Diceros bicornis minor: one gene and its partners. The protein of the gene in region 1 purifies or fractionates together with the protein of each later gene. This does not show direct contact. Links are inferred from orthologs where the notes say so. Each region holds a gene or a part of one and is shown on either strand. Other genes may lie near its edges.

What was found.
Region 2: the proteins of CD81 (region 1) and IGSF8 purify together in Homo sapiens (co-immunoprecipitation; 3 studies listed by BioGRID and IntAct, with this or other methods). This does not show direct contact. The link is inferred for Diceros bicornis minor from reciprocal best matches to the Homo sapiens genes CD81 and IGSF8.
Region 3: the proteins of CD81 (region 1) and PTGFRN purify together in Homo sapiens (co-immunoprecipitation; 7 studies listed by BioGRID and IntAct, with this or other methods). This does not show direct contact. The link is inferred for Diceros bicornis minor from reciprocal best matches to the Homo sapiens genes CD81 and PTGFRN.

What each region holds. Positions count from the first base shown.
Region 1 is NC_080770.1:2,345,245-2,348,985, forward strand, and holds the start of CD81 (CD81 antigen), read right to left. Parts: upstream 2,874-3,741; 5' UTR 2,741-2,873; coding exon 2,675-2,740; intron 1-2,674. UniProt on the Homo sapiens protein: Structural component of specialized membrane microdomains known as tetraspanin-enriched microdomains (TERMs), which act as platforms for receptor clustering and signaling.
Region 2 is NC_080743.1:64,784,209-64,787,949, reverse strand, and holds the start of IGSF8 (immunoglobulin superfamily member 8), read left to right. Parts: upstream 1-1,165; 5' UTR 1,166-1,476; coding exon 1,477-1,825; intron 1,826-3,741. UniProt on the Homo sapiens protein: Member of the immunoglobulin superfamily (IgSF) that links tetraspanin-enriched microdomains to the actin cytoskeleton and plays several important roles in innate and adaptive immunity.
Region 3 is NC_080743.1:49,262,982-49,266,722, forward strand, and holds the start of PTGFRN (prostaglandin F2 receptor negative regulator), read left to right. Parts: upstream 1-929; 5' UTR 930-944; coding exon 945-1,149; intron 1,150-3,741. UniProt on the Homo sapiens protein: Inhibits the binding of prostaglandin F2-alpha (PGF2-alpha) to its specific FP receptor, by decreasing the receptor number rather than the affinity constant. Functional coupling with the prostaglandin F2-alpha receptor seems to occur.

The DNA of each region.
Region 1 (3,741 bases):
GCCCCAAAGCAGGCTGTGGGCAGGCAGGCTGACTGCACACTGCACGGGGCCCTGGGGTCTCTGTGCAGAGGGTGGGGGAGCAAGTATGTGTGTGGGCATGCAGGGTGACCGGGTTCCTCTTTGCAGAAGCATGCCAGACTGCCTCTGATGCCTCCTCCCACGCGGGAAGCCTTTTTACTCTCTAATACGGAACTTGAAAAAGTGCCCCTATCCAGATACCTATTATCAACCTCTCCTCCTGGCTCCTGCCCTCAGCACCCCCTTACTGCACTAGGGCCGGGGTGCACGGTGAGGAGTCAGGCTAGGCACCAGGAGCCCTCCTTCAGCCACTGGGCCCTGCAGGAGCCTCCCAGGCACCCAAAGCCCCTTCCCCGAGGCACTGCCTACACCAACAGGCTTGGCTCTCCTTGGCTGTCTTCCCGGCCAGCCACCTTGCCCAACATCCATTTCCTGAGCGTGGCCTCTACTCCCATTAGCTGATCCACCAACAATCCCAGGAGAGAGGAGTCTGAGGACTCCCACTTCAGAGGGGAGGGAGCTGAGGCCCAGGACCCAGAGCACCAGAGCAGTAGAGCAGTGGGGTGGGGACTCCACCCGGCCAAACTCGCCCCTGCACCATGCTCTCAGCCAAGAGATGCCAGGGGGCAGAGAGCAGCTCTGACACGGTGGTGCCCGGCAGCCCCGCCTGGCTCAGCCCAGCATCTCCCCACTGCAGGGGGTGGCCCAGCATGGGTGGGTGGGGCCATGGTGACTATAGATGGCTCCAGTTCTCAATGTTCAGCTGGGCAGGCCCCAGGAAGGGAGAGGAGAGGCCTTGGAAGCATTTCCTTAAGCCTCAATAGAAAGCGGGCCGGAATGCAAGGCCTCCATCCCAGCTGCCTGGGAAACTATCAGATTCAGCCAGGCTGAGCTCCAGGGGTCCCGTCCTGGAGACCTCCCAGGCTGGGCAGGTGGGAGGGACTTGCCACCCGCACTGACACCTAGCCCCGCACTGACATCTAGCCCCAGGCAAGAATCCACTCCTGGAGAAGTTCCCTTCCTCTGCCTCCCCTCCACCTCCCCACCGGGGTCCTCGCCCCAACATCCAGGCTTTGCTTGTAGGGGATGGGCTCAGGGGCCAGCCGAGAGGTGTCTGGACGTTGTTCCCCACTTGCCTGGGCCAAAGGAGGCAAACACCAAATCCACACCGACACCACCCCAGGTAGGATGTGACACCCCATTCCACCCCCAGCTAGAGTTTAGTCCAGTCTCTGTCCTCCCCACCCCAAATACCTCACTGCCCCGAGATCTGCCCTGAGATCACCGGCCGTCCAGATGGCAAGCACATGTCCCCAGTCCCACACACTGGCTCCAGGGGCCATTTAAAAAGTTCACCCTCCCTGCGTCAACTTGAAAAATACGCCACCCCCCAGGCATCACCCTGGTCCTCAGTGGGAAGGGGTGAGCAGCCTGGGGTGGCAAAGCAGCAGTGAGGGGGCCCGGCAGGGGGTCCTGGTCACTGCCCAGGGGAGCACTGAGAGGAGGCAGGGCACGGCCATCGAGCGAGCTCCTGACACCCATCCAGGGGCCTACCAAGCCAAAAAGAGATCTCCACCCCATTCCCCATTCCAACATCGACAGCAAACAGAAACAAAAGCAAAAGCGTCATCAGTCACTGGGCAGAGATTAAGAATAAGGTCAGGAAGACGCAACTCTCAGGCCAGCAGCCTGGGGACCCCGGGGAGACCCTGCCGCACCCAGAGATGACCACCCTGTGGCGCTCCTCTTTCCAAAGTGGATGCCCAAGCCCGGATCTGGGCACCCACCCGGACCCAGGCCCCCAGAGTTCAGAGGCGCTCAGGTCTTCACAGCCCCCTGCCCTGTGCCAGCTCAGAACGCAGGCTCGGACCCCACTCCCCTCAAAGCTCCGGGGGTCGAGGCTGGGATGGAATCTCAGTCTGGGTGAGGAGGGCAAGAGGACCGGACCACACAAACCGGGGCCACTATGGTGCAAGCACCCCAGCACACGGGCCATCAGGGCCCAGGGCGCTTTCTGTCTGAGCTCCGCCCCGGGCCCGGACCCCCAGGACGATCCCCAGGATGGCGACAGCAGACTGGGGGGTGAGCTGGGCTAGGCCAAGAGTGGGGTGGACGTTCCTCAAGACTCGGACGGAGTGTGCGCAACCCCCCCGCCCCCCTCCTCACCCGGCCGACCATCAAGGGGAGGTGGCCTCGATGAGCTCATGGGGGCGGGGCGCCGGGAGCCCCGCCCTCGAGCCCCCTCTCCATCCTCGCAAAACAGGGTGGTCCCAGGAACAGCGCCAGGTGGGCTGAGCGGCGGCGGGGTACGCGGCCCAGAGCCCGCACCCACCGCAACCCCGACTATCACCAATCGGTAACAGACCCGAGGCGCCCAAACGCCCCGGCCCGGCCGCGGGGCTCTGGGCCCGGACGCGCAGAGGCCCCGAAACCCGGCTCGCAGCCCCCCGCCCCACCGTAAAGCGGCGCGGCGGCCCCAGACGGCCCCTAACGTCGCAGCCTACCGGCCCAGGACTCCCCGCCCCGCGCCCGGCGCGCACAGGTGGCCCAGCAACTTGGCGGCCCGGCTGCGCCCCCTCTGCGGGGCCTAGCGGGGCGCGCGGCCTGCGGTGCTCGGGGCGCGCGCCCCGCCCCCCCTTGCCCGGCCGGGGCTCACCCAGAAGACGAAATTGAAGACGAAGAGCAGGTACTTGATGCACTTGGTGCAGCCCTCCACCCCCATGGCGGCGCGGGCCGGTCCTGGGCGAGGGGCGGCGGGGCCGGGGCCTGGCGAGCAGCGGCCGGGGGCCGAGAGGTCGGCTTGAAAGCGACAGCGGGGGCGTAAGAGGCGCGCAGACGAGAGGCACACGGCGCAGGAGGCCTGGCCGGGGCGCGCTCGCTTTCTGGGCGGGCGCGCGCTCCGCTCCACCACTTATCGGGCGCCGCACCCTCCCCCACGCCCGGCAGGCTCCGCCTCCCGGCCCCGCTCATCCCGCTCCGCCCCGCCCCCCGCCTGCCGGGCGCGCAGGGGCTGCAGTCTGGTCCCCAGCCCGGCCTCCGCCGAGGCGGCCCGCAACCCCTCCTCCGTCGTGCCCACGCTAAGAGGACCTCAGTGCCGCAAGCACCACGGGGCTCGGACGCTCTGTTCGGCGCGCGGCAGGCGTCCCAGAGCCGCTGGCGCGCCCCGAGCCTCTACTAGGGGCTGCGCCTGAGGAAAGGCCTGCCGCCAGGGGTGGCCAGGGAAGACCTTCTCCCTCTCTCCTTCTCTCCTCCCTCAGGCTCCTTGGATATCCAAGGAGGCTCCCTGGAGGAGATGATGCGCTGGTGATGGTTATGCCAAGATAGCCGCGAGCTTTGTTTACATTGCTCGCTGGGAACAGGACCTGGGTGAAGCCTGAGTGTCAGGGGGCCTGGCCTGAAAATCCTACAGCGAAATTCTAGGCAGCCAAGCCCTTGTCCCGCGGACAGGGGGAGTTGCTGCCCGCTGTTAGAGGAGTCAGTGTTTGGAAAGGTCGCTGAGAGGGTGTCCCCTAGACCAGTGTTAAGTGTCCAGGAGGCCTAAGACACCTATAGGAGAACCTCCAAATATTGTGTATTTCATGGACACCCTGATGGTGCCAGTAGCCCAGGGAGGCCCACCCACTGCCTCCTGCCCTCACTGCCTGGGCAATGAGGAAGTGGAGAGGTGCCATATCAAGTGAGGGGCGCTTTGTCCCCAGGTGACGTGAAGATGAAGAGCTGGAA
Region 2 (3,741 bases), on another chromosome or scaffold:
TAGCATGCAGTTTAAATAAAAATTCAAAAACAAAGGAAAAAACACACACCCTATCTTCTATTTCGTGTTATCCTGTGCCCAACACCTTATGTACATTATCTCAATTAATCGTCACAAAAACCCTTTGGGGTGGATGTCACCCCACTTCAATTTGCCCACAAGAAAACTGAGGTTGAAAGAAGTTAAGCAACTTGACCAGGATCACCAATCAAGAAGTGACGGCGCCCAGACGGCCCACTCTCCTAACCCACTTCCTCTGGTTCTGCCCAGAGCGGGTGGCAAACCGGTCTCCCGTGACCTTGCGGAGCCCTGACACGCCTTTCAATCCAGATCCTCCGCGCTCCGGAAGCCCTGGGTCCCGCCCATCGCCACTTCGGCGGAGTTTGCTGCGAGGCCTAGCGGCCCAGAGCAAATAACTGGATTCTAAGTGGGTGGCTTTAGTCACCTCACCGACCGCAGGGCCCCGGCACCCAACTCTCAGGGAAAGGCCGGCAGGTGCGAGGCGAGGGTGCACTCTGCGCGGGGCTGGGTGGAGATTTAGCAGCGCCCAGGAGCCACCAGTTTGAGCTGGTCGGCGTCGGGGCGGAGCCGGGGCCGGGCGGGGCGGGGGCGGGGCCTGTAGGGGTGGAGCCAGGACCTAGGTGGGCGGGGCTTGGGCCGGGGTCAGGGCGGGGCTTGGGCCGGGGTCAGGGCGGAGCCGGGAACAGGTGCGAGCGCAGCCCGGGCTGAGGTCCAGGACCTGGGTAGGGACGGAGCCGGGGACCAGGGCTGGGCCAGGGTCAGGACGGGTCAAGGCAGGGTTGGGGACCGGGGCAGGGTCGGGAGCCCGGGGCTAGGGCGGGGGCGGGGCCCGGGCAGGGCGGGGCGGGAATGGTCCTCGGAGTCGCCGAGGCGGGAGGGAAAGCGGGGGGAGGAGGAAGAAAGGAGGAGGGGAGGAAGGAGGGGACTTGGAAGCTCCCGCTCGGCTCAGCTCGGCTCTGCGCACCCACGCCTCACTGCACTGCTTCGTGCCCCCCACCTGGGCATGCGCCCCCCGAGTTCCCGGCCACCCAGAGCCCGCGCCATCCCCCGGAGCCTCCCCAGAGCGGGCCGCGCAGGATGGGCGCTCTCGGTCCTCCGCTGCTGCTGCTGCTAATGCTGGGTAAGCCCGGCCCCCGCCCTGGCCCTCAGCCCCGCCGGGCAGATATCTGGCACCTGGCTACCAGTCCGGCCGTCACCCCAGCATTTCGGAGCCCCTCGCACCCTCCTTCTCCATCAGGGGCGCCTCCAGCTTCCCTGGGCTCGACGCCCAGCTGCCTTTTTGTGGCCGTCCGCCGAGCCGGTCTTGGGGGTTGGTGAAGGCTCCCCAGCTCTAGGCCACTGACTGGGGCACAGTGAGGACCCACCGAGGTGCCTCCCCCAGGGACGGCCAGGCCTCCGGGAGCCAGGCCCCACTTCTAGGCCGGCATACTCAGGTCTTGGGGTCACTGCGCCCAAATGCTGAGAATCATCTCTGCCTCAGTCAGCCTCAGGCCCAGCCTTGGGTGCCTGCCCTGCGTGGGCAGTGCCTGCCCGGCTTCATCATTGCCTGGGGTTGGCTGGAGGCCCAGGGGTCGGTTCTTACCCCCCCTTCATCATCTGAGTTTGGGGGCAGTTCCCTCTCTCACCCCCATCTCCACTCTGGGCAGATCTCCCTTTGCCCCACTTTCCCTCTTCCAAATGGCACTTGGCTCTGTAGCCTCCCACTGGTTGTCACACCCCCCTAGTCCCAGCTTCCCTGCCTTAGGAGAAACCAGGCTCCATGGAGACAGCTGCTGGGATCTCCAAGCACCCAGTGCCTGTCGTGGTGGGTGTTCACGGGGGGGTGTTCTGGGCCACCGCTACTGGATGCATGGGGGCAGTGACAGTGGAATTGGTTTTGGCCTGAACTGGAGGGTTCCCTGTAGGAGGCGGTCTGGGGAGGAGTATGGCACGAAGGCAGCGATACCTGTACAGATGTTCAGGAGACTGAGGCCCTTGAAATAAGAGCACAAGGGGGGGCTGGGGGGTGGCCTCGTCGCCAGAATTCAGAGCTGCCGTAGTCAAGGTGCAGGCTGACGTAGCCCCAGCTACCTATTTCTGGACCAGAGCTCCACTGCAGCGCCAAGCAGAGTCTCCCCCTGCTGCATAGGTCTCTGGCCCCTGTGGGACTAGAATGAGTCCTCTCTGCGGGGACCTGGGAGGGAGGCAGGAGGGTGTACAGAGGAAGGAGCTGTGGGGCCTGGTTGCCTAGCGCTTGGCCTGTTTTCCCCAGTGGGCAGCGTGGAGCAGAGAGGAACCCAGGGGAGGTGGCGTAGTGTGGTGCGCAGAGATGGAAGAGCCTGCCGAGATCTGAGCGCCCACTGCGTGCAGGCACTTAAACGTTCATTTCACAGATGAGGAAAATGAAGTAACTTGTCCCAGCGAACACGTCTCGTGATTGTTGGGGCTGGGATTTGAACCCAGATCCATCTGACTCCAAAGCAGGCCTCTTTGCTCTCTCCCTTCCCTCTCTAACACCGAGGAGGGGACCTGGCTGGGGAGAGACAGTGGCCTGGCAGCTGGTTTCCTAAGATGGTGGGGTGACTTTCCCATGGGGATCTCCAAGCATCAGCAGTTGTGGAGCCAGGAAGGTGGGAGGGGTCCATCTGAGCAGAGTCTGCCTGGAGGCCAGGGAAGATGTCAGCTCGGCTGGCTCTGATTATGAAATGCCCTCAGGCAGGGCCCTCCTGAGTCACACACTCACTGTCAGAGTGGAAGCTCTTTGCTCTCCTCCATTGTGGAAACTGAGGCCTAGGAGGAAGGGCCAGGGCCAGGCCATATAGCTGGGGATGGGGATGGGGCTGGGGCTGGAACCCGACCTCCTGACTCCCAGCCTGTGCTCTGCTCTAACCAAGCAACCACAAGTTCTCCTCGTGCCTTGGCCACAGGAAGCAGGGGCTAAGATTAGCCCAGCTCAGGAGGGAAAGTCAAGGGGAGCCCTTCTGGAGGAGCTGGAGGACTGAATTTGACCACAGACTTGGTGTTTTCCTCCAGCCCTTGCAGAAAGGCCCTGGGTATGTCCCTGGGGTGCCATTTTAGTTGGTGAGGTCAGTCCCCACAGGCCTGGCCTTGGAGTTCCCCATCTTTCTCCCTGGCTTTGTCCCTCTGCAGGGGCATCTGGAAGACATCCAAGGACAGTAGGATCTTGGCCAAGACATTATACTTCTCCTGCCTTACCTTGCTCATCTGTAAAATGGAGGCAGGGGGCTGACCCAGCCCTCCTTACAGTCCAGGGTTCTGTAGTCTTATCTAGCCGGGCTATGGAAGGATGGAGGGAGAGAAAGAAGAAGCTGAGCCCTTCAAGGCTGCCAGGAGTATCTGCTGGAGCAGGCTGGGGTCTGGGGGGTGGGGACAGGGTGAAGAAGAGAGTTTTGGCCTGAGGACAGAAAGATGGGATGGGGCAGCTGGGGTCAGTGTCTCCCTACAGAAAGGGAACCATATGTAAAAGATGCATGCCATATGCAAATGAAGGCTTTTGTTAGGGAGTTGAGGGGGCATAGTGCATCAGCTGGGCCAGCCAGGAAGATGGCAGGCATTGGTGGGGAGGGGATCTTCTGCCCCCGGGGGCCAGGGCAGAGACGGGTTCTTGCCCCATAAGCCTCAGCTGTCTCGGCAGCCCTGTGGGGTGGGAGAAGCAGTGAGCTCATGGCACAGCTGGAGGGGGGAGGGCATTGTATGGTGAGAACTGACTGGGTCTGTGCC
Region 3 (3,741 bases), on another chromosome or scaffold:
GAATGCGGGGTGTCCCGGAATGGAGCTAAAGCGATGGGATTTCCAGATGAGTCTTTCCAAGGCCAACTTTTAAAGGTCGGCGGAAAGTTGATGGAGGGGCGGGGGCCCCGAGGGGGAGAGCTGGGTGGGCTCCGACGCCTCCTCCCCTTTAAGCGGGTGGCCCCGGCGCTTCCTCCGTTACCTGGAGCGGGGAGGGGCTTGGGAAAGTTTGTGTTTGTTGCTGGCAAAGCGCCGGATGGGAGGCGCGGGCGGGCGGGCGGGCGCTGCGGTTCTTCCCTTTTGCTTTCGGGAAGCGGTCGGGGCCGCACACTCGGCTCGGCGGGGCGGCTCTGGCGCCCGGCTCCCGGTGCCCGGCCGGCTGGAGGAGGGAGGGCGGGAGGCGGCGGGCGCAGGGCAAGGGGCGCGCGTCCGCCCCAGCGCTGGGATTTCTCGGCTCGCGAGGAGAGCGGAGCAGGCGCGCGGCCCAGGCGGAGGAGCGCTGACTCTGGAGCAGCCGGAGCTGGAGGAGGAGGAGGAGGAGAGGCGGCGGGGAAGGAGGAGGAGGGGGAGAGTCGCTCCCGCCCGGCGAGCATGGGGCGCCTGGCGCCGAGGCCGCTGCTGCTGGCTCTCCTGTCGCTGGGTGAGTGCGCGCGGGGACCGGCGGGCCCGAGGGGCTCGGCGGGGCGCGGCTGCAGCGTGCGGCCTGGGGCGCCGAGGGTGCCGGGGCCGCTCCCGGGAGCCCGGCCGGGTAGGCGGGCGGCGCGGCCCGGCGGGGGACGGCTGCGGGGCCGCCGGGAGCCGGGCGCGAACCCGGCCCGGCCGCGCGCGGGGTGCGAGTCGCCGCTCTGCCAGGCCGAGCCTCGCCCCCAGCATGTGCGGGGGGGAGTGGCCCGGGGCCGGCTTCCCCCATCCCTCCCTACCTGTTGGCGGCCGGGAGCCCGGCTCACCTTGAACTCCCGGCCCGGATGGTGCTGCGGTCTCCGGCCCGCGTCCCCAGCTTGGGAGCTGAAATATGCTCCTTTGATATGCCCCGCCATAGCCGAGACCGGCGGGATCGCTCTGCACACACACAAACCCACGCCGAGCTGCCTTTCCAGGGAAGCGAGGGAATCCAACCAACTTCCTTCTACGAAGGTCACGGGATGGCCCAGAGCGCTACAATAGAAATCGGTGTGCGAGTCCTTCCGTCCTGTTAGTTGTGGCGGGATCCTCTGCCTCAGTTTTTTCTTTTAGCTCTTCTTGAAGCTGCCTGGCTGCATATTTACACACAAAGACCTAGGAGCCTTGGCCTCTCCAACTTTTCCGACCTGTTACTTTTCCTCCCTTATTGTTCCCTATCTTCCACTGTTCCTAAACCTAAACCTCTTGATTATTTGGCCTAGCGCCCTCCTCCAACCCCAGGAATCTTTGGTGGGTTTTTTTCCTCTCCATTTTCCATTCATCCATACACACAGACACCATCTTCACGCAGTGTAATATGGTATATTAACATAATCATGTGGTTATCAGCCACAGAAATACATCTGCTTATTAAGTGCCCACCATGGTACACGACGGCTGACTCTTAAATGCTCTGATATTCTTGGATCCCTTTGGTCAGTGTCAACCAGAACAGAATGAATTCTGCGATCTGACCAGGGATTCTCTTCCACACCTCTAGAGAAGGCATATCTGAATCTTTTACGAAGCGCATGGTGTGTGGTGTCAATCCCAGCCAGGCCCCAGCTGCACACAGGGTAAATGACTACTCTGCGCTTATGGTCAGAGGGTCCCAGTGGAGGCCTTCTACAGCCACTCCCATCCTGCTGGCACCAGGGCCCACACTGTCCCAACCCCCACGATTCCTGGTGCTCCTGGGTCAGCCTTTCTAGCTGCGACTGGGTTTTCTTCCTTCACCTCTGTGGGGTCTTCTGGAACTCACTCCTTAAGAGAGCTCGTCCAGCCGCATTGCTTTAGCTGCAACCATGTCCAGAAAGTTTTCAGATCTCTCCATTTTGTAGCATCTTTTCTGTGGTCTCGGATCCTAGTGCTTTTATTCTTTTTCTTTTACTCTGGGACTCTTGTAAATTCTCCATTTGTTGCACATTGCTGGTGATAGTCCACACCTGTTAATTGGCTAATGTGTCTGAGTCAAGCAGGGCCATGGCCACTGGCTGCACAGACTGTGCCCTGCACAAACTCTAGGGGCTGCTATTCACTTCGTAGTCTGTGTGAATGACTCCTCCTAGACTTGTGCAGTTCACAACCTGAGTACAAGTTAAGAGGGTGGAGTCAGGTAGAAGTTGGAAAAGAATGTCTTTGAGTAACAATGATAAGGGAGAAAAAGGGAGAGGGGGCAAAGAGAGACTGGGGAAAGCAAAACACAAGTGGGGAAAGCCCAGCTTGGGGAAGTCTTGGATGTATATCAGTGTATCCTGCCCTGGCTGGACATCTCATGTTGACTATGCATAGGGAATGTCTGTGGTGTCACCAGCCAATGCCTTTTCTCCTATCAGTTCCCTGAACTTAATATCGCGCCTGCTAACTCTGCCCCCCAGAATCTCACTCGGTGTGGCTTCAGTCTGACCTCTGGGAAGCCCTCCCTGCTGTACCACTCTTGCATGGTACTGATTCCTGAAACTTAATATGTTGATCAGCAAGATCGTCTTTCCTCTTGTATTGCAACCTGGGCGTAATCTTACTGTCACTCTCTTTGACCTCCACGTTCACACTGTCCCTCAACTCTGTGGCTTTTCCCAGAGTACAGACTTGAGTGTCTTCCCATCCTTCCTGGATCTAAAGCTACTATCCTAGCCCAGGTTCTGATAGTTCCCCATATAGATCACTTCTGACATCTTCCTGGTTGGCTTTTTCCTCTAGCCCCCCTTCTAAGTTCATCATTTTCCTAAAGGATCATTTTTGGGGATCCCGTCTTTGCTCATTGGTTCTCTATGATTTTCTTCCAAGGATATGCTGCCCCTGTGTTTTCTCTCCTCTAGTCTTCTCTCTGATTCAGACACTTCATTCTAAGTATCCTGTTTGCTTCCTTTACATAGAATAGATGTGAACCTTCTGGCTCTTCCATTTCCCGTGGCTTGGAAATGCCCTTCCTGCCTCTCTCTTCTTGCCTGTATTATTTCCTTTTTCCTCTAAGACTCATTTCCTCCATAAAGCTTTCCTAAGTCTACCTATCGTGATCACATCAGAACCCACTCAGCTTCATAGAGCACATTTTCACTTCCATTGCCTATGTCTGAGCTGTTCCCTCCATGCATTCAATACAGTATTTCGTGAACGCCCACTGTGTCTATAAAAGTGTCCCAGATAAATGACCGAGACACAGTGTCTCATTGAGTGGTCCATGGGGGTGGGTGGACAGATAATCAAACAGCTAGCTACAAGACAGAATGAAATGCCTGACATAGAAACCAGGTGCTGGTAGGAAGCAAGGAAAAGGATGATTAATTTTGACTTGGCATTGGGGTTGATTTGGCTGAAGAGGTGACATTTGAGCTGAGCCTTGAGTATAATGAGAATTTTGAAAGAAAGGATGGACGCGCATTCCAGGCTCTGGGGAAAGACGCTGAGTGTGGATGAGTGAAAGTACTTGGCTCACTTAGAAATGGCATGTAAGTTCCATGTAACTGGAGGGGGGAGGAGGAGGATATAATGGGAGAGCAAACTGGAGAGGTGGATTTGGGATGGATCCTGAAGGCTATTTGTGCTGTGCTGAGAAGTCTGGACTATGAGGGGTGGGTTTGTTGGCCTTGTGGGGGCTGCCAG